Linked DNA regions of Cricetulus griseus. The protein of the gene in region 3 purifies or fractionates together with the protein of the main gene of each other region. This does not show direct contact. Links are inferred from orthologs where the notes say so. Each region holds a gene or a part of one and is shown on either strand. Other genes may lie near its edges.

The links.
Region 1: the proteins of Usp48 (region 3) and Uba6 fractionate together in Homo sapiens (co-fractionation; 3 studies listed by BioGRID, with this or other methods). This does not show direct contact. The link is inferred for Cricetulus griseus from reciprocal best matches to the Homo sapiens genes USP48 and UBA6.
Region 2: the proteins of Usp48 (region 3) and histone H2AX purify together in Homo sapiens (affinity purification with mass spectrometry; 3 studies listed by BioGRID). This does not show direct contact. The link is inferred for Cricetulus griseus from reciprocal best matches to the Homo sapiens genes USP48 and H2AX.
Region 4: the proteins of Usp48 (region 3) and Sirt6 purify together in Homo sapiens (affinity purification with mass spectrometry; 3 studies listed by BioGRID, with this or other methods). This does not show direct contact. The link is inferred for Cricetulus griseus from reciprocal best matches to the Homo sapiens genes USP48 and SIRT6.
Region 5: the proteins of Usp48 (region 3) and Rela purify together in Homo sapiens (affinity purification with mass spectrometry; 3 studies listed by BioGRID, with this or other methods). This does not show direct contact. The link is inferred for Cricetulus griseus from reciprocal best matches to the Homo sapiens genes USP48 and RELA.

What each region holds. Positions count from the first base shown.
Region 1 is NW_023276807.1:151,369,233-151,372,746, forward strand, and holds part of Uba6 (ubiquitin-like modifier-activating enzyme 6), read right to left. Parts: exon of another isoform or gene 3,324-3,514; intron 1,778-3,323; coding exon 1,584-1,777; intron 698-1,583; coding exon 570-697; intron 1-569. UniProt on the Homo sapiens protein: Activates ubiquitin by first adenylating its C-terminal glycine residue with ATP, and thereafter linking this residue to the side chain of a cysteine residue in E1, yielding a ubiquitin-E1 thioester and free AMP.
Region 2 is NC_048597.1:156,021,759-156,024,766, forward strand, and holds histone H2AX, read left to right. Parts: upstream 1-1,144; 5' UTR 1,145-1,225; coding exon 1,226-1,657; 3' UTR 1,658-2,500; downstream 2,501-3,008. UniProt on the Homo sapiens protein: Variant histone H2A which replaces conventional H2A in a subset of nucleosomes. Nucleosomes wrap and compact DNA into chromatin, limiting DNA accessibility to the cellular machineries which require DNA as a template.
Region 3 is NC_048595.1:15,692,563-15,696,076, reverse strand, and holds part of Usp48 (ubiquitin carboxyl-terminal hydrolase 48), read left to right. Parts: intron 1-170; coding exon 171-301; intron 302-559; coding exon 560-666; intron 667-1,661; coding exon 1,662-1,766; intron 1,767-3,514.
Region 4 is NC_048598.1:102,384,278-102,388,553, forward strand, and holds the start of Sirt6 (NAD-dependent protein deacetylase sirtuin-6), read right to left. Parts: upstream 2,807-4,276; 5' UTR 2,721-2,806; coding exon 2,655-2,720; intron 2,473-2,654; coding exon 2,345-2,472; intron 2,146-2,344; coding exon 1,903-2,145; intron 1,292-1,902; coding exon 1,232-1,291; intron 242-1,231; coding exon 146-241; intron 74-145; coding exon 1-73. UniProt on the Homo sapiens protein: NAD-dependent protein deacetylase, deacylase and mono-ADP-ribosyltransferase that plays an essential role in DNA damage repair, telomere maintenance, metabolic homeostasis, inflammation, tumorigenesis and aging.
Region 5 is NC_048596.1:53,708,025-53,712,197, forward strand, and holds the start of Rela (transcription factor p65), read right to left. Parts: upstream 2,814-4,173; 5' UTR 2,687-2,813; coding exon 2,680-2,686; intron 2,082-2,679; coding exon 2,055-2,081; intron 1,967-2,054; coding exon 1,815-1,966; intron 1,691-1,814; coding exon 1,521-1,690; intron 648-1,520; coding exon 556-647; intron 251-555; coding exon 119-250; intron 1-118. UniProt on the Homo sapiens protein: NF-kappa-B is a pleiotropic transcription factor present in almost all cell types and is the endpoint of a series of signal transduction events that are initiated by a vast array of stimuli related to many biological processes such as inflammation, immunity, differentiation, cell growth, tumorigenesis and apoptosis.

The DNA.
Region 1 (3,514 bases), on a different chromosome or scaffold from region 3:
TCTAGTTATCAATATCTGAACATTTGGAGTGTCCAAATCATTGGCTGTCATAAGTATGCTAGAATGATCACCTTGGAATATATGTAATTTGGCATGTGTGCAATAGCACCTTATTTCATTTATATGGATTACTTTATTTTGTGTTTTCATAAGTAATGTATGAGGGTGGTAAGAGGATTAGCTCTTCCTGACAAGATACTTCTACTCACATTTCTGGCTGTGGCCAACCTGAAATGTCAAAAACAGACACTCAGGAATTGATTTCTGTTGTTATAAATGTGCAGAATTAGATTCTAAATTTCACAGTGTATAGTCAGACAAGAATGCCTTCAAAATTATCCAAGTTAGGAACCCTAAAGTATAATCGTAAATGGTGTGAGAAAACAACTATTGTGAGGATGCTCTAGCTAGTCTACTTGGAAATAATTCATCAAGATGACGTTTGACTGGGTCCTGAAATAGCAGAAAGGATTAACAAGAAATAGAGATGAAAACCAGTATGCTTCCTTCCTAAGGGTAGAATGTACTTTCTTTCTCATTATGGAAGAAAAACAGACTTTTATACATACCTGATTTCAGTTTTTCTTACTTCAGATGTCTCTGTAAACACTATTATTGGAATGGCTAAATTAAGGAAACAGTTTTTATAAGCTTCAAAGGGATAGCCACCAGCTACTTTGATCATTTCCAAGGCAACCTAAATAAGAGAAGGTGACATGATTACCTAGAGAACAAAAAGTTAAAGCTTCTTGGGATTTTATCAGTCTTGTTCCTTGTGAAGGTTCAAGCCTGGATGTCTCTGTAAATAGTAAGAACAGCTATACACTTACAGTAAAATGTATTTCTTATTTATCTGACATTTTTAGTACATTTTACTTTTAATATTCAGTCTATTCTATATATATATAGTGAACAAAGTTATTTCACTATTTAATCATCCTATTTTCAAAGCAGACACCATAACTCAAAACTAAAGCAATTTAACCAATAAAGGAACAGACAACTAACTCCAATTTTGTAGAGTACTGATAGAGTACAATATAATAAATGGTCTTAATTATCTTTCTCAAGAGACTATCTACTTGACATGGAGAGTGACATGATTTCTGTGGAGGGTGGACGGGAAAGTGACAGGATGGCCAGGTGATCCTGTGTTGCTGCCTTTGGCCCTGTGCTCTAGGAGGATGGTATACTACATCTTTCCTCTGAGTCTGTCTGGTTGTCTCTCCCTGGGTTCTCACAATCAAGTACTCCTAAGGTTCCAGAATGGTCTCCTGGGTTCCAGGACCTGCTCCTGAGCTAGCTGTTGGGCTGGGTCCCTTCTTTCCACCGCCCCCAAACTCAGGAGGGAAGGAAAAGTCATTGACAACAACTATACTCTATCTTGAGTTTATTAACACTATTTTTATACATAGGACCTAGGACTTAGAGATATACCTCATTATATTTTCAGAAATATCTTGAAAGTTTAAATTATAAGATCCATTTTTTTTTTTAATCCCTTCATCTCTAAATTCTGCTTGGCCAGCTAAAGTTGGTGTGATGTTGGGAAGATCTGAGACTTTTTAGAAGAATAAACTTACCAAGCCAGAAACTGCAGCAGTAGATGTTGCTATAGCAGGGATAATTTTACCAGCTATGCGCTTAGTTTTAAACCGGTCAGCTGGTTCAATGCTATACATTTTGGCTCGAAGGTTGGATGCAGCTGTGATGAAATCTATGTGTCCATTATTGTCATCATCTTTTTCAAATGAAAGCACTGCCATCTGAAGGTCACCTGACCAGAGTAATCAGAAGAGCGCATGCTAGTTATGGTAAAGGTTTTATGAGATAAAAAGCAAGGTAAAAATGTACACGTATAAAATTTTCAAATAACCAGATTTCTAATAAAGAAATATACAAGTAACAAAGCTGAAGGACCCACTGAAAGCATTGCTTAGTTAACAAAAATATTAATCATAACCATTTTTGTTATGAACAAAATGAAAATGTATAAAGAAATAAGCAACTGAAGTTATAAAAGAACATGAAAACAATGGCATTAGGACCACCAAACTAAAGAAGTTAGTGTATAAAAAACAGTAAATAGTGAAATAAGAAAAGCCATTTGTGACATTAGCTGCTGCCATGTGGATTATAAAAGTAAATCTTTGATACTACTCAAAATTTAACCCATAAATATTACTTTGAAACATTTTCTCTCTGACAACTAACAAAATCATTTGTGCATCTCTTTGAATATTTCAGATTAGTGATTTCCAATATCACTTTCAAGACTATTAACATGACATATAATGAAATTTTACTGGTTCACACATGAAATCACAGAACTTTGAGAATTACTGATTTATCTAACAAAAGATGGTAAGCATGCCTAAGCAGATGAACGACTAGCTGCTTTTAAAGAATTAAAAGTTCAGCTGTAGCAAAGTTGTTTGTAAAGTCAGATTTTATTCCTGGTAAAACCTGAGAAAGCTAAGAGTAAGTAAAGAGCTTGATACACAGCATGAGGACCTAATTTGAGGTTCCAGAATCTACACAAATGTGAAAATCTGTAATCCCAGTGCCTCTACAGAGAGAGAAGGCAGACACAGGAGTAGCCCTTGAAGCTTGTAGGTCAACTAGCCTGGTGCAAGCATCAGAAGAACCAGCAAAGGGAGGACCAGCACCCAAGTTTATCCTCTGACCTCCGTGTGTGTGCCATGGCATGCACATGTCCATACGCTCATCTATACTCCCCCCCACCCCACCCCCGACACTCCCTCACCCACACTCTTTCTCTCTCACATACACACTCTCTAACATACACATACTCACCCTCTCTCTGAGACTTTTGGTAATTCTTTCCCCTAAAGTGGTATGTTTAAAGGTATGAATAGGTTACTAAGCTTATTTTTTTATTTTGAGATAGGGTCTCACTATGTAGCTTAAGATAACTGTGACTCCCTGATCCTGCTGATCCAGTAAGTCCAGCTAATCTGAACCTTCTGCTCCTTAAAAACAAGCTATTTGCTTGTGTTTTTAGAACTGTTCAATATCTGAAGCATAAAAACAGTAAGAATTACAATACAGCAGTTAATGTAATTTGGAGAATTAGTTTTTAAAACTTGAAGGCAAATACATGAGGAAAAAAATGATGACTTTAGTCATTGTTAAAGGACAGAAATTTTTTTCCCACCATTAAGTAACTTTTATTTTACATTGCAACTCCAGTTACTTCTCCCTCTCCTCTCACCTTATCCCCATCCCACTCCCATCAGCTATGATGACTAAGAATTAGTACCCTTGTCAAGTCTTTTATTAAGCGGGCAAGCGGAGGAATGATGGTTTACATCTCGAATGGACAAGTGTTGGACAGTCGAAATCAGTCCCCATGGAGATTGTCTTTTATAACAGATTTTTTCTGGGGAATAGCAGAATTTGTGTTTTTTTTTTTTTTTTTTTCAAAACTCTGCTTCAGCAAGATGTGAAAAAAAGAAGAGGCTATGGAAGCTCATCTAATTTCAGATACGAT
Region 2 (3,008 bases), on a different chromosome or scaffold from region 3:
AATGGTGACAATAAAGGATTGTCTTTTACTTGCTTCTCTCCCTCAACCTCTTTTTCTAGCCTTTGAGATACTTGAGGACTGAACTCTTTTTTTTTTTTTTTTTTTTTTTTTTGGTTTTTCGAGACAGGGTTTCTCTGTATAGCTTTGGAGCCTATCCTGGCACTCGCTCTGGAGACCAGGCTGGCCTCGAACTCACAGAGATCCACCTGCCTCTGTCTCCCAGTGCTGGGATACAAGGCTTGTGCAACCAACATCCGGCCTGAGGACTGAACTTTGTTAAGTGCTCTACCACTGAATAAATCTATACATCTATCCCCTATTTATCTTTCGTATGGGCATTTTAGGATCGATTGGAAGGGTTGGGGTGGGTACCCTTTCCAAGAGAATACCTACCTCTGTTCCATCAGACCCCTTCCTGCAAGAAGTGACAGAACTGAAACCAGACAGAACATGTTGAATAAATATTAAAATACTAACTTGTCGTAGCACAAAGGATCACAGCACTCAGTTTTCTGGCATAGGATTGTACTCTCAGGTTTCATTTCTTCTCCTTTAAACCCTCCCTTTGCCAAATTTGAGGAGGGCGTGGGAGTGCCCCTGACCTGGAAGGAGAACTCTTTCCCTTTTTAACTTTTGTTAAAATGTTTTTCGAAACAGGGTTTCCCCTTGTAACCCTGGCTGTCCTGGAACTCGCTTTGTTACCAGGCTAAGCTTGAACTCAGAGCTCCCCCTTCCTCCGCTTCCTGAGTGCTTGAATTAAAGGTGTGCACCACTATCGCTCGGCTAACCCTTTTACTTTAAAACCCTTGGCCGGCCCAGATTTCCCAGAGACAGTCATGCGCCTCCAGACTCCACCTTCCTAGTCTTCCGGTTCTGGTGGCGCGCAATAGCGTTTAAATTTCGCGCGCTTAATAAGGATTGGCCACTTCCATGGATGATTAGCCTGCTGTTTGCGGCCACTCCGCCTTGCTTTCTTCCCCGGGTAAAAGGTTTTCAAATTGGACCAATCGCTGGGCGAGCTCTTTTCGCCTAGGCGCGTCACCGAAGGGTTAATTCCAACCAACCAGAGGCCGGTACTGGGGAAAAGAGCCAATCAGGGGGAGGCGGGGGCGTGTCCATGGAGTTTATAAGGGCGAGCTCGCCCGCGCGCGGCGACAGTTGACTGCGGCGGTTGGCAGTTTTCTTTCGTCGTCGGTGTTGCTCTCTGCTTTCTACCTCGTATACGATGTCGGGTCGCGGTAAAACCGGAGGCAAGGCCCGCGCCAAGGCGAAATCGCGCTCCTCGCGCGCCGGTCTACAATTCCCGGTAGGCCGCGTGCATCGGCTGCTGAGGAAAGGCCACTATGCCGAGCGCGTGGGAGCCGGCGCCCCGGTGTACTTGGCGGCCGTGCTCGAGTACCTCACCGCTGAGATTCTGGAGCTGGCGGGCAACGCGGCGCGGGACAACAAGAAGACGCGCATCATCCCGCGCCACCTGCAGCTGGCCATCCGCAACGACGAGGAGCTCAACAAGCTTCTGGGCGGCGTGACGATCGCTCAGGGCGGCGTCCTGCCCAACATCCAGGCCGTGCTGCTGCCCAAGAAGACGAGCGCCACCGTGGGGCCCAAGGCGCCGGCGAGCGGCAAGAAGGCCACCCAGGCCTCTCAGGAGTACTGAGGGAGCCCGCGCCCTGGCCGCCCAGCCCTCCCCACACCTCCACAAAGGCCCTTTTAAGGGCCACCACCTCCCTCACGGAAAGAGCTGAGCCACTTAGGGCTGCGGGCCGGGCCGCCGCGTTCCCATTCTCTTCCCCTTTCTCTGCCATCGCGCGTTTCTGCCTCCCCTTCCCTGCACGGCCTCCGGGTCAGGCGCCGCGGTACTTATCCATCGCGGAGCTTCGCCGGTCTCCGTCTCGATGGGCCGCGCGGAGAGGTTGCGACACCTTCCAGAAGTGTCGGCCTTTTGCTGTGACGTACGGCTGAGGTGGGCCTGAAGGTGAGTTACTCTGCAGCTGCAACCCGGGCGTCCTTTCTTCAGCTTGGTGCTTTAGCCCTCGCCTGGACCTTCCAGAAGTGACTTGATTACCAGGCTTTGGTGAAGAGAAATGGATCATATTGTTTGGTCCTGTGTTTTCCCCTTCGTTGGCCTCATACCAGTTTACCCCATCTTCGTTCATCGGCCGGTGTGTGGTGTGGCCGGGACAAAATCACTGTAATATGAGCTGGTTTTCTCCAGGATGCCTCCTGGAAAGGGTTTGGGAGAAGCTTACAGGCCTGTGGACAGAAGAGCTGTGTTCTTGCCGCAGGAGACTGGCAGCCGGGCCTAGCTATCCCCTTTTCTTCCCAGCGACTCAATTCACAACCCAAACACCTAGATACCAGCACAAGTCGGTGAATCCCTATCTGGACTGAGCCTCTACTGGCTTCTGAACTGGAATTTTGCAGCTATCCCAAGTTTAGAACCTTAGGTAGTGGGGAGTTTCAATGGGCTAATTTTATTAAATGGTTGTTCTGTTTTTTTAAAAGATGGAGTGTCTTGATTAATTTCGAATTGCTGTAGGCCCGGGGTTGGGGTTCTATAGCTCCGTGGTAGAGCCATGTACCTGGCATGTGTTGTGTTGGGAGGTGGGAGTGGAATTGTAAGTTCCCTTAGAGCAGTGGGGATGGGCAAGACTGTAATACAAGTAGGTTCTGTTAACTGAAAACAGGCAGGCTGTAGGAATTGAGGCAGTTTTCTCTTTGCTCGGTGCTTCCTGGGATGCATTCTGAGAACATGAGGCAATTAGAAAGTATTTCAACAGAGAAGTCCCAGACTCAGAATTCAGGTTTAAAAGGGCTTTGGGTTTATTTATATTTTCCCCAATTCCACCAAAACAACCACATTGAGAGCTGGTTTAATATTAGTGGCATTGGTTACATTCGAGATTGGCACTGACTTTTTCTAAAGAGATGAAGCCCTAACTACTGAGGAGGAAAGGCGCAGTCATCAAGGCCCCAAGGTGATTCGTGTCTCTGGAAGTCTCAACACC
Region 3 (3,514 bases):
TTGCTCCAGTTTCATATGTCATGAGTCAGACCCTTCCTGTTTGTTTGCAGTAAATTGTTGGTGGCATTGATTTGTTGTAGGATATTTGTTCTGTTGCTCTCCACGTGTCTTAAGGCATGTTGTTTCTTGTTTTTTGTTTTTCTTTTTCTTTCTTTTTTTTTTTTGCACAGTATAGCTCTCATATGGCCCAGCGAGTGGCAGATGATTCAAAAGCTCTTTGTCGTGGATAAAGTAATCAAAATCACGAGAATTGCAGTCGGAGATGCGGGCCCTTCTGAAGTACAGTATATTTCTGAGCCTAGTAAGTTTTCCTATCTCTTTTCCTTTTATTATAAGTTGACAGTTTAAGGGGAAGGGAAGGGTTTGTCAGTAAAGGCTATGGAGTAGCTCAGACGCTTCTGGCAGACCTGTGAGCTGCCGTTGTTAGTTCCAGGCAGTACACAGATTCCCTCATCATTTACATGCTGCCTGACACATCAATTACTGAGTTGGCTGTGTAGTAACTGATGTCAGGTTTTTTGCAGCAATTCTTAAGTTTTTCTGATCTGCTCTGTTCTAGAACTCTGTCCAGATTGCAGAGAAGGCCTGCTGTGCCAGCAGCAGCGGGACCTACGAGAGTATACCCAAGCCACCATCTATGTCCACAAAGTTGTGGACAACAAAAAGGTACCAGTTCTTCTTGTGGCCATGACTACAGAATGTAGGCCATCAAATCTGCCTACTTAGTGTTGAACTTGAACAGTTGGAAAAAAGTAGAATTCCCAGTGTTGTCTGACTTCTGGTTTAAAAAATTGCCCTGCCTGTTGGGTTTAGCTATGATGGCATCATAGCAGGACAGGGAAAGGCAGCCTCAGCCTCAGCCTCAGCCTCAGCATAGATCTGAATGGCCAGTGAAATTAGAATTTGTGAGCATTCTTTCTGTATTAGTATTGACTTTGAGAATAGAGCATGAACATCCATCAGTTGAATTACAGGGTTTGGACAATTTTAAAGGCAGTTAGTTACTCGATGCATTGTATTAGAATGCTACTTTCCACATTAATGCATTACAGATATAGAGTTCTACTTCATAGATTAAAACAAAGGCCTTTATTTCCAAACATGTTGAGAAAAGGAACATGATATAAGCACCCCCACTTTCCCCCAGGATTTTCTTAACCCTGTTGACTTTCAGCCCATTTACATAGTAGAAGGAACAACCATTGTTTGAGTTTATTAGCTGTGCCCACAGTGTTATGCAGAAGAACATATTTTTTGTTTCTCAGTTCCTATATCAGGCGAGTCATAACCTGTAACTCTAGTTGCAGGGGATTTGATGTTTCTGGCATATGAGGCGCCTGAGCTACATGCAGATAAACATACATAGAAGAGATACCCAATTAGAAATAAAACTAGGCTGGGTGTGGTGGTGCATGCCTTTAATCTAGCAGAGTTCAAGACCAGCCTGGTCTGCATAGTTCCTGGACAGCTAGAGATACAATAGTGAGAGCTCTACATCAAAATGATAATAAAATATAGGTAAATAAATGAGTAACACTCAGAGGTAGGAAGGCCACAGGGTTAGACTATAAGAAGTTAAAAGCAAAGAAGGTGGTTGCCCACCCCCTACGGCATGCTCACCTAGGGCCTGACTCATTTCTCTCTGCTCCTGGTGCATTCAGGTGATGAAGGACTCAGCTCCAGAGTTGAATGTGAGTAGTTCTGAGACAGAAGAGGACAAGGAGGAAACTAAGCCAGATGGAGAGAAAGACCCTGACTTTAATCAAGTATGCACTGAAGCTCCTCCCATCCTTATCCTTCTTTTTACTCTGGGTACCTGGCATCTCTTCCCTGGCTGGAATATTGTTCTGGGTCTCTTTATACTTGTCCTGTATTTTTGTTTTCTTTAGTTTTTGTAGCATTGCACCATCTGTCCTAATTTCTAATCTGTCTGTCGGTCTCGGTCTCTCTCTCTCTCTCTCTCTCTCTCTCTCTCTCTCTCTCTCTCTCTCTCTCTCTCTCTCTCTCTCTCACACACACACACACACACACTATGTGCTGCATACATATCCATTTCTTTTAAGAAAGAAAACCTAGGTGTGGTGGCAGTGCTCACCTTTAAAGCACTCAGGCAGGTGTCTGAGGCCAGCCTAGTCTACTTAGAGAATCTGAGAATAGCCTGGTCTACATAGTGGAACCCTGCCTCAAAACAAGCAAAGAAAGAAAAAGTGCTGAATGTGACAGTTTGTGACTAAGACCATTGAGGAGGTTGAGGCAAGATTGCCCACCTGTGAGTTTAAGGCCATGGTGGGCCATAGTGAGGCTGTTTGGCTGGAATACCAGGCTGGAGAGATGGCTCAGAGGTTAAGGTCTTAAGTTAAAATTCCCAGCAACCCCATGGTGGCTCACAACCATCTGTAATGAGATGTGGTGCCCTCTTCTGGCATCCAGCCGTACATGTAAGCAGAACACTATACATAATATACATGCAGAGCACTCATACATAAAATAGAAATAAATTTTAAAAAGTAAAGTCTTGGTTGCCTCAAGAGAAATGTTGTTTGTACATACCCATCTGGTGTGGAAGGATATGTCAGTATTTTTTATCCATGCCTTGTTTGTATCTTAATAATAACCAAAATCAAATAGAATAACAAAAACCCATGAAGGAACAAAAACCCTTTGACAATGGGCAGGCAGATCTCAGTTTCCTTTGTTAAGCTTGGTAGCCTGTTTCCTTGGTACATTCTGTGGTAATGCTGGATGTCAGTTTGAGAGTTTTCTATCTGAGGTGCCCTACTGCCCTATTGAGATCTGTGTTGGTGTCTGCTGTTTCCTGAGGTGATGTTGTGTCTGTTCTCCTTTTTGAGACACAGGTTTGCTGGCCCTGCATGTGCCACATAACCCAGGTTGGCCTTGATCCCATAGTTTTCTTATTTGGCCTCCAAAGTGCTGGGATTGCTGGTGTGGCCACTCTGCCTGGCTGTAACGTGGACCTAGGAGTTTGCAGATGTGATTCAGTCAGTCTCTGTTTCCAGCTATGCTTTTCAGCCCAAGAGTTCTTTAGCCAACTCTACATTTTCATGTGATTCTGACTTTGAAAAGCTGGCTGTTTCTCTGAACATCCAGTTTTATTCACTGTGGTCATGACCACAGCAATGTTTTCAGGTGGATGTGGAATTCCTGTCCTTAGTTGTGGATGGCAACAGATTTTGCATGTACAAATAAGATGCAGAATGTTGGAGAGCATTGCTTTTTATGCCATAATTGTTTTGTACACGTTATAATTTTCCTCCATCTCCCTTGTCCATGTTTGGATATTGTAATACTCTAGAATGTTTTAAATACTTTTGGTTCAGGGCAGAGCAGGGGAGGGATCTCAATTCTAACCGCCAGTTAGAGCATTGTAACTAGTCCCTGGAGATACCTAGTGTCTTCAGAATGTCACCCCTCCCCCCACTTCTTTGTCTCAGAATGTGTTGGCTGGTTACACTTTGGTAAATCCACACCATAAACCGAGGCATTAGTGCCCCTA
Region 4 (4,276 bases), on a different chromosome or scaffold from region 3:
CTCATCAGCGAGCATCAGGTCCCGTTCAGGCAGTGCGTCCTCCCAGTCCAGAATGGTGTCCCTCAGCTCCCCCCTGCAGCAGGTCAGGGAAGGGAGTTAGGGCCCTCACTTCCTGACAGGGGCAGGTGTGAGGAAGGTTACTCACCTACAGGCCCTTAGGCCCCTGGCCTTGGCCACTGTGCAGAGCCGGCCCGTGGCCTTGAGGCCCATGGTACCCACGACTGTCTCTCTCACGTATTGCCTGTACAGGGGGGAAGGAGGGGGATGTGACTTGTCTAGCGCTCTTTCAGGGGTCTGGGGGTGGTGTAACCAGTGTATGGGGTACAGGCTCAATCCCTGGGCTACACTGCAAGACCAACAGCCTAGGGATACAAAGACAGGTGCCTCAGTCTGGGAAGGGCTTGACATGCAGACATGAGGCCCTGAGTTCAAAAGGCGGCACAATGGAGCAGATTTACCACCCCAGCGCTGGAGACCCCAGGAGGTTCCTGGCCACTCAGCAAAACCAGCAATTGACAGGTTCTGAGAGACTGTGCTTCAGAACACAAGGAGAGGGGTTGAGTTAAGACACCTGATGCTGGGGCTGGAGAGCACTAACCGCTTTTCCAGAGGACCCAGGCTCAATTTCCAGCAACCACCTGGTGGCTCACAACCACCTGTAATGAGATCTGGTGCCCTCTTCTGACATAAAGGCGTACAAGCAGGCAGAACACTCATACATTAAGTAAATGGGTAAATCCTTAAACCCCCCCCCTCCAAATGACAACAGCAAAAAACCAAACCAACAACAATACAAGACCATCCACCAGTGTGTGTGTGGGGTGGCCAAACATGATGGCTCATTGGCTGTGATCTCAGCACCAGGAAGCAGAGGCAACTTAAAGAGGGGGTCAGGGGCTGAAGCTCAGGGGCACAGCTCTTGCCTAACACCCTCGAGGATCTGGTGTAAAGCAATGTTGTCTGCTGGCTGGGAGCCACAGCAGGGGGGTGGGGCAGGGAGAACCCCTCACTTCCAAGGATGTGGCTTGTGTCGCCCTGTTTTGTAGCTTCTTGCTTGGGGGACCTCCTCATAGCTTGTCTGTTTTTAACTGACTGTCACTGGAATCAGAGGCACCTCCCAGCTTTCCCTGGGGCCATTTCAGGACCTGTTAGCTGGTTCAGCGGAGGAACCTGGGAGAGCCCCACCCTGGGAGAGCCCCTCCCCTGCCGGTCTTCACTTGCGGACACTCACGTCTTACACTTGGGACATTCCTCTACAAACATGTTTCCATGGAGCTCAGCCAGCTTGTCCCTGCGGAAGAGAATGAGAGTCAGGTCCCTTCCTCCCTGAACCCTGAGGCTTGGACCAGTTGCTCAGCCTGCCTCTTCCTCCAGAAAGCCTTCCTAGGCTGCTCACCCACAAGGTCTAGGCTGAGGAATTGTTACAGGTGGCGATGACCCTATCTCTGCAAACACAAATAGCTGCTCCCCACTACAAAAATCTGTTGGCCAGATGGACCGTGGTGTCGCACGCCTTTAATCCCAGCACTCGGGAGGCAGAGGCAGGCGGATCTCTGTGAGTTCGAGGCCAGCCTGGTCTACAGAGCTAGTTCCAGGATAGGTTCCAATGCTACACAGAGAAACCCTGTCTCGAAAATCTTAAAAAACAAAAAAACAGAAAACAATCTGTTGGCCTTAGAGCACTTGCCTAGACGCCCCCAGTGAGGGGCTGGGGGCGTGGCTCAGGGTGGAGCCCCACCTAGAAACCCCCCCATTGACCAAGTGCTGGCCTACTTTAGGCTCCAAGCTCTTCCCCCCTTTCCATCTCCAATAAAATGTCCCTGACCCCGGGCAGGCAGCCTGGTTCCCGGATAAGGAAGGGGTGCAGCTGAGCCCCACGCCCCTGGTCCAGTCCCATCTGACCTGGGGAAGCCCGAGCGTACGTGCAGCCCGTCCACATTCTGGCTGACGAGGAAGCTGAGGAAGCCCGAGCGCTCCAGCTGCACCAGGGCCATGTGGGTCTTGGAGGGCCGGGCGTTCTCGAAGGTGGTGTCAAACTTGGGGGCCAGGCCACGCTCTTCCATGGTCCACACGCCGTGGGGGCCTCTGAGGACAGCGAGCAGAGGACAGAAGTTCCTTTTCGAGTGCAGGCCTCGTCCTGGGAGCCTGAAGTCAGTGTGTGCTGCGGGCTGGGTCCCTGTCGGGGAGAGCCAGCCGGCCAGCCGGGGACCCCGCAGCCGGGGACCCCGCAGACGCGTCCCAGCATCCCCTGCAGCCACACATCGCCGGGATCTGTGGCGGCTGCCCCACCTCACGGCCGTCCCCGCCAGCGCCCTGCCTCAGTTTCCCGTGCTCGTTCACAGACCTGAAGTCGGGGATGCCGGAGGCGGTGCTGATGCCGGCGCCCGTGTGGAAAACCACGCTGGAGGCCTGCAGCATCAGCCGGGCCAGCTCCCCCACCTTCCGCTCCAGCTCCTCCGGGGGGTCGAAGATCTGTGGGGACGGGGGCACAGCTGGGCTCAGGGACGGACCCCACCGCACCGCACCCACCCCGCCCGCGGGGTCCTCCTTCCAGGAAAGTCCTTCCCGCTGTCTACACTCCGTGTTTCGTGCTGTCCCCACAATGCCCCACTCGTCCGGGCCCCCGTCTGGCGACCGGGACACCGTGGCCTCACCTCCGGCAGCCCGCACTTGCCCTTATCCGCATACGGCGACAGCCCGGCTGCGTAATTCACCGACATCGTCGCCAACAGCGCAGACGGGAACAATAAAGTTTCCCTTGTTGAGGCCGCTTCCGCCGGAAATGGGGAAGGGACCGCCGGGGTGGGAGCGTTAGAGGCGGAGGAGGTGTTTCCCCCCGGAGCGCGCGCGCCGCACTGACGCCGCGGGCGCCATCTTTAGTGCTGGCAGAGACTTGCGGGCTGCCTCGCGAGCCTTCCCTTCTCGTCCCCGGCGCGCTCGCAGGAACCGAGTCCCAGCCCAGCCTGGCTGTGCAATGAGACCCTGTTTCAGAAAAGCGACAAAACCAGCAACAAAAACCATTAAAAACAACCCCCGGAACTCTCACTCCGTGGGTAGAGCTCACCCCTCGTGCATACAGCCGCGGCGGGAGTTCGAAGCCCGTCTAGAGGTCGTGAGACCCTGGGCGGCCTTTGGGTCTCTGCTGTGCGGCTGTCAGCCCGTGTCTGCCCCTTTCTGAGCCACAGGATAGAATGAATGGGAACTTGGGGTTCACAGGCACCCCCTCCCCCGGGCGCCCTGCCAGCATGTTCTCAGCTTTGTTTCTGGGGATAGCACAGAGCATCACGGTCAGGTCCCCACGTTACACAGAGGGGCCCGGAGACGCAGAGAGAGATGGGGAAGGGGATACTGGGTCAGAAGCACCTCCTGTGATCCCCTCCTGTGGCAGTCCATCCTGACCCCTGTGCCTGCTGGTGGTCAGACGGGACCAGGCCACGGCGATGGGGGCAGCAGTCCTTGGGGCTGCCCACATGAGCAGGCTGGCCAACAGCAGTCCTCCCTCTCTGGGCTCATCCCGTCCCCCTGGGCGGATGCCCCCCCTTCCTGATCAGGTGTCACCCCGACTCTGCTGCTGGCAGCTCGCACTTGGAGCGGGTAACCAGAGAGGCTGTGGTGCACGCAGTGCTCTGGCCTAGAGACGCCTCAGGTAGGGGGATGAGACTGTGAGAGGCCAGGGAAGACGCTGCTCTGGGTCCCAAGGAAGGGGATACTGTGTCAGGGGGTTGGGGAGGGGGCTGCTTGCGACACCCGAACACATACATGCACCTGCACACTCGTGACAGGTACACGGGACCCACCCGACATGCGCGGACCTCGCTCAATGTGCGGCCTCCTCCCTGAACCATTGTGGGAACCCACAGGTCAGCGGACCTGTGCTGCCCCACCTCTTCCAGGAGGGAGACCCCTAAATTCACAGGCCTTACCCACACGATTCCATCCTGACTGCCAACCTGAGTTTCCTGTTACCCTTGGGTGTGATTGAACTTTATAATTGGGGGTGAGAATGAGCTGTACACTGAGCTGTAGAGGAGAAAGGAAGGATGGACAGGTGGGTGGATGAATGGATGGATGGATGGATGAGTGGATGGATGGATGGATGGATGGATGGGGTGGATGGGTGGGTGGTGGGTGGGGGGGGTGGATGGATGGATGGATGGGTGGGATGGGTGGATGGATGGGTGGGTGGTGGGTGGGTCTTCCCTGAATAGATTGCTTTTGCTCATTGAGAGTAGTCAGAAACGTGACTGGCCTTCCTACAAGGGGCTGATTGTCAGGT
Region 5 (4,173 bases), on a different chromosome or scaffold from region 3:
CCTGCCAGCATAACTGGAGGACTAAAGGGAACCAGAGCACTCTTCACAGGTCACACCCACTCCAGCCCCCTTTCTCTTCCAGACCCTCCCTTTCCCCTTACTAGAGGCGGCCACTCACGGTTATCAAAAATAGGATGAGAGAGGACAGGAGTCAGGCGGAGGGGCCTGCCTGATGGGTCCCGCACCGTCACCTGGAAGCAGAGGCGCACTGCATTCAGGTCATAGTCCCCACGCTGCTCCTCTATAGGAACTGTCAGAAAAACAGAGGGATGAGGGGAGTCACGGAGGGCAGGGAGCTCTGAGCGAAGGGAGACAAGCACAACAGAAGTCTCAGGGAGGAAGACAAAATTCTAGACTCATCACTGGCTCTACTGCAACATGGAAGACGTGATCCCTCTCTAGGCCTGACTCTGGATGGTAATGTGAGTGTACCAAGCTAGCAGGTTCCACTTAGACTGTTTGCCTGGTCATGGAGGGAGGGGACTGCAGAGGCCCGGGGAAGTGATGGAGATGTGGACGCCACAGGTAGGCTATGTCTTTGCCCCTTGCTCCTACCTTGAAAGGGGTTGTTGTTGGTCTGGATGCGCTGGCTGATGGCTTGCTCCAGGTCTCGCTTCTTCACACACTGGATCCCCAGGTTCTGAAAGCTGTGGTGTCTCAGGCATCAGTTTTGTGTCTGCAGCAAAGCCCATTCCTGCCTCCCACTCCCAAGTCTATTCCACTGGGCTGCAATGAAACTCCCTCCTTGCCCGTCAGCAAGCCTCTGTGGAATCTAGCCAAAGCAAGCCTCCAAGCCAGCGTCCCACCCTTAGCCATTCCTAAGCCCACTAAATTTATTCCCTCTTCAAGGTCACTGGACTTCTTTCTTGAGCATGGAATATACTTTTAGACTTGTCTGCCTTTCCTCATCACTTAAGCGTTAGCAGACAGGCCTTCTGTAACCTTTCAACCCAAAGTCATGAGACCCGTATCAGGACATGGTGGTACATGCCTGTTATCCTCGGAGTTGACAGGAAGAGCCAGATGAATCCTAATGAGTTCAAGGCCAGCTTGGGCTATATGAGACTCTGTCTCCAAGCAATGAGGCTAGCCTCCTCTTCATCCTTCCAATTTGCTACTGTGCTTTCTTTTCATCATAGAAATTACTATTCTCAAGTGGTATCTTGTCTATCTGTTCGTACAGTTATTTATTGCCTGATTTTGTCAGCTGGTGTTTATGTTCCAGGAGAGTCCATTATGGATATCTTTCTCATATGAGAGACACTAAGAGACTGGCCTGTTCAGCCACAAGTGTCTGTGGCTCCAAGGTGATAAGGTGATCCTTATCCCGTGGAGTTCCTGTCTGTCAGAGAATTTAAGACAAAGAAGGTCTGTTTGCAGAGCTGGGTACAGAGCAAGGACTCAGAATTCTGCCTGTGTCTAGAAAGGGGTAACACTGTTAACAGCCACCTGGCCTTGTCTGCTCCTACCCTGCCTCCTATCCACTGACCTCACTCTACCCCGGCCTGTAAAGAGCTCACCTGTGGATGCAGCGGTCTGGGCAGAGTTCAGCCTCATAGAAACCATCCCGGCAGTCTTTCCCCACAAGTTCATGTGGATGAGGCCGGTGAGGTGGGTCCTTGGTGACCAGGGAGATTCGAACTGTTCCTGGTCCCGTGTAGCCATTGATCTGTCCAAAGTACAGAGTACTCTAGGGGCCAGCAATCCCAAACCTGGCTCCTAGACACAGGGCACGGTGGCAAGGAGGCAGGTCTGCTGGGGCTCCAAGTGCCTCTCACCACATCAGTTCCCAACCCCTGGGAGCTGGTGCCTACCTTGATGGTGGGGTGTGTCTTGGTGGTATCTGTGCTTCTCTCACCCGGAATACTGCCTGCTGAGCGACCCTCACACTTGTAGCGGAAACGCATGCCCCGTTGTTTGGGCTGCTCGATGATCTCCACATAAGGCCCAGAAGCCTGGGTTGGCTCTAGGTGACACAGCCAGCCATCAAGTGCTGCCCCCATGGCCCCTACTCCAGGACAGCCCTACCCACTGAGGAAGGATGGTCCACTTACCTGAGGGGAAGATGATGGGAAATAGATCTAAAAAGGAAAGACATTGTCAGTAAACTCCACTCACTGCCCATCCTCACCAGGGAAGGGACGATAGAAACAAGCTCCCTCTCAAGGAAACTGAGTCAAGACTTCACAACCTGCCCTGAACGAGGCAGGGCCAAGAAGGCAGCAGCATCTCTCTACGAGAGAAAAGGGGCATGGAGGCATTCCTCTGCCCGGGGAAACTGAGTCAAGGCCAGTTTTGCGTTCATAAGGGACACTAAGGAAAGACACTACCTCCCTCTTCTCTTCGGGGAAACTGAGTCAGATACTTTCTTCCTTACAAGGAAAGGAAGCCAAAACTAATCGCATCGACACCGGAGAGGGAGGGGGGCGCCGAGGAAACAGAGGCAAGATTCACCCGCACTTCCACCCAGGAGGGACAAAGTCAAGGCGCCCTCCACCGAGAGGGGTAACTGAGTCAGATCCCCCGCAGCCCGCCCCGCCCCGCGCCACCATCCGGCCTGCGGCTCCCTGCGCGGCACCCCGCGGCGCAGAAAGGGGCGGAAGACGGCGCGGGAGGGCTCGCGCCGCGGGCCCGGGGGCTCGAGGGCAGCCACCCCGCGGGGTCAGAGGGCCGCCTCACCGTCCATGGCCGGGGTCCCGGGGGCGGGGCCGGGGTCGCAGCTGAGCCCGCGGCGCGCTAAAGCGAAGCCATTCGCCAGAGGCGGAAATGCGCGGCGCGCGCCCGCCCGCCGTCGCGTCACTGCCCGGAATCCGGCCGCGCCTGCGCGCTGTGCTGCGGCCGCCGCCGCGCGTGGGTCCCGGGAGGAGGTGTGCCACTCTCGCAGGGCGCGGGAGGTGTGCGGCGCTCAGGCGGGGGCACCGGGCGCGGCGCGAGGGCGCCGAGGCTACTCGTCCCGAGGCCCGCCGGGCTGCAGGCCGCTCCCGGGCTGCGCAACGCGCCTCGCTCGGGGTCCCGGCCCCGGCCCCGCCTGGAGGGCGGTCCCGCGATTACTCACTCTGTTTTTAGGGGATTTCGGGTCCTGTTCCCCGCCCCGTTCTGATCGCAGGAGTTTGGTGATGTCACCCTGGCCCGGTCTGGAGCAGAGCCAGGGCTGCTGGCAGGCTGCGGCCATTCCCCGCGCTCAGGGAGAGGCCCAGGCCTGCTGCGCCCGCAGAGGCCGGTGACTGAATTCCACACGCTTTCCTCAGCGTGCCAGGCCTGCTGGGGACCGCGGCGCGTTATAGGCCATCTCCTCCTCATCCTAGATCCAGCTGCACTCGCAGGAGTCGGGGAGCCATGCTCCGTGGAGCCTGCTTCACTGAGGCCGTGGGGAGAGAGGGAGAGAGAGAGGCCGAAGGCTGGACACCTGTGCCTCTCTCTGAGGACTTGATCTAAGAGTCCCGGAGGGCAGTGCGTGCTGGAAGACGCCCAGGGTCAAACCCCACGGCTTCATCTCTGCAGATAGGTGCTTTCTGCTAAAGTCTAGACCCTTAGGCATCTGCAGAAGCAGCCGGGGTCACATCTTGCTTGCACATCTCCTGAAGGCTTCCCACTTGGGCCCAGGCTTCAGTGATAACAGCGTTTTCAGGGTGCGAAAATTGCACCTAGGCGTGCTGGTTGAGGGTGGGGGCCTGGGCTAGAGTGCTCTCCACTTAGGCTGTTTCCCAGTGCCAGAATAAAAAGGCTTCAGCACATGGAGAAAGACTTATTTTCTCTGAAGTCATTCTAAATTAGGAAATCATGAGGGAATTGGAAAAGATTGGAAATTCTGACTTGCTTTCCCAGGCTCTGAAAAAAACAGGAAGACAAAAGTGAAAATAGTTACCGCCCCTCCTACTCATTTCAGTTTCTCACTTGGCAAAGATTAGAAAAGGCAGTTTGCTGTTTTGCGGGGGCGGACTTCAAGGCGACAGAATGAATTATGATCTCTGATTAATGGCTCACGGCCATCATTGATCCTCGCATGTACCACTTTTAAAAAGTGACACATAACTTAAAGATGGATACCACTTACTGAAAAGTAAGGGCTGGGGAGGCAACTCAGTAGAGTGCTCTTTAGCATGCAGGAAGCCCTAAGCTTGATCCCTAACTCCACCACACCTACCAGTAATCCCAGCACTCATAGGATCAGAA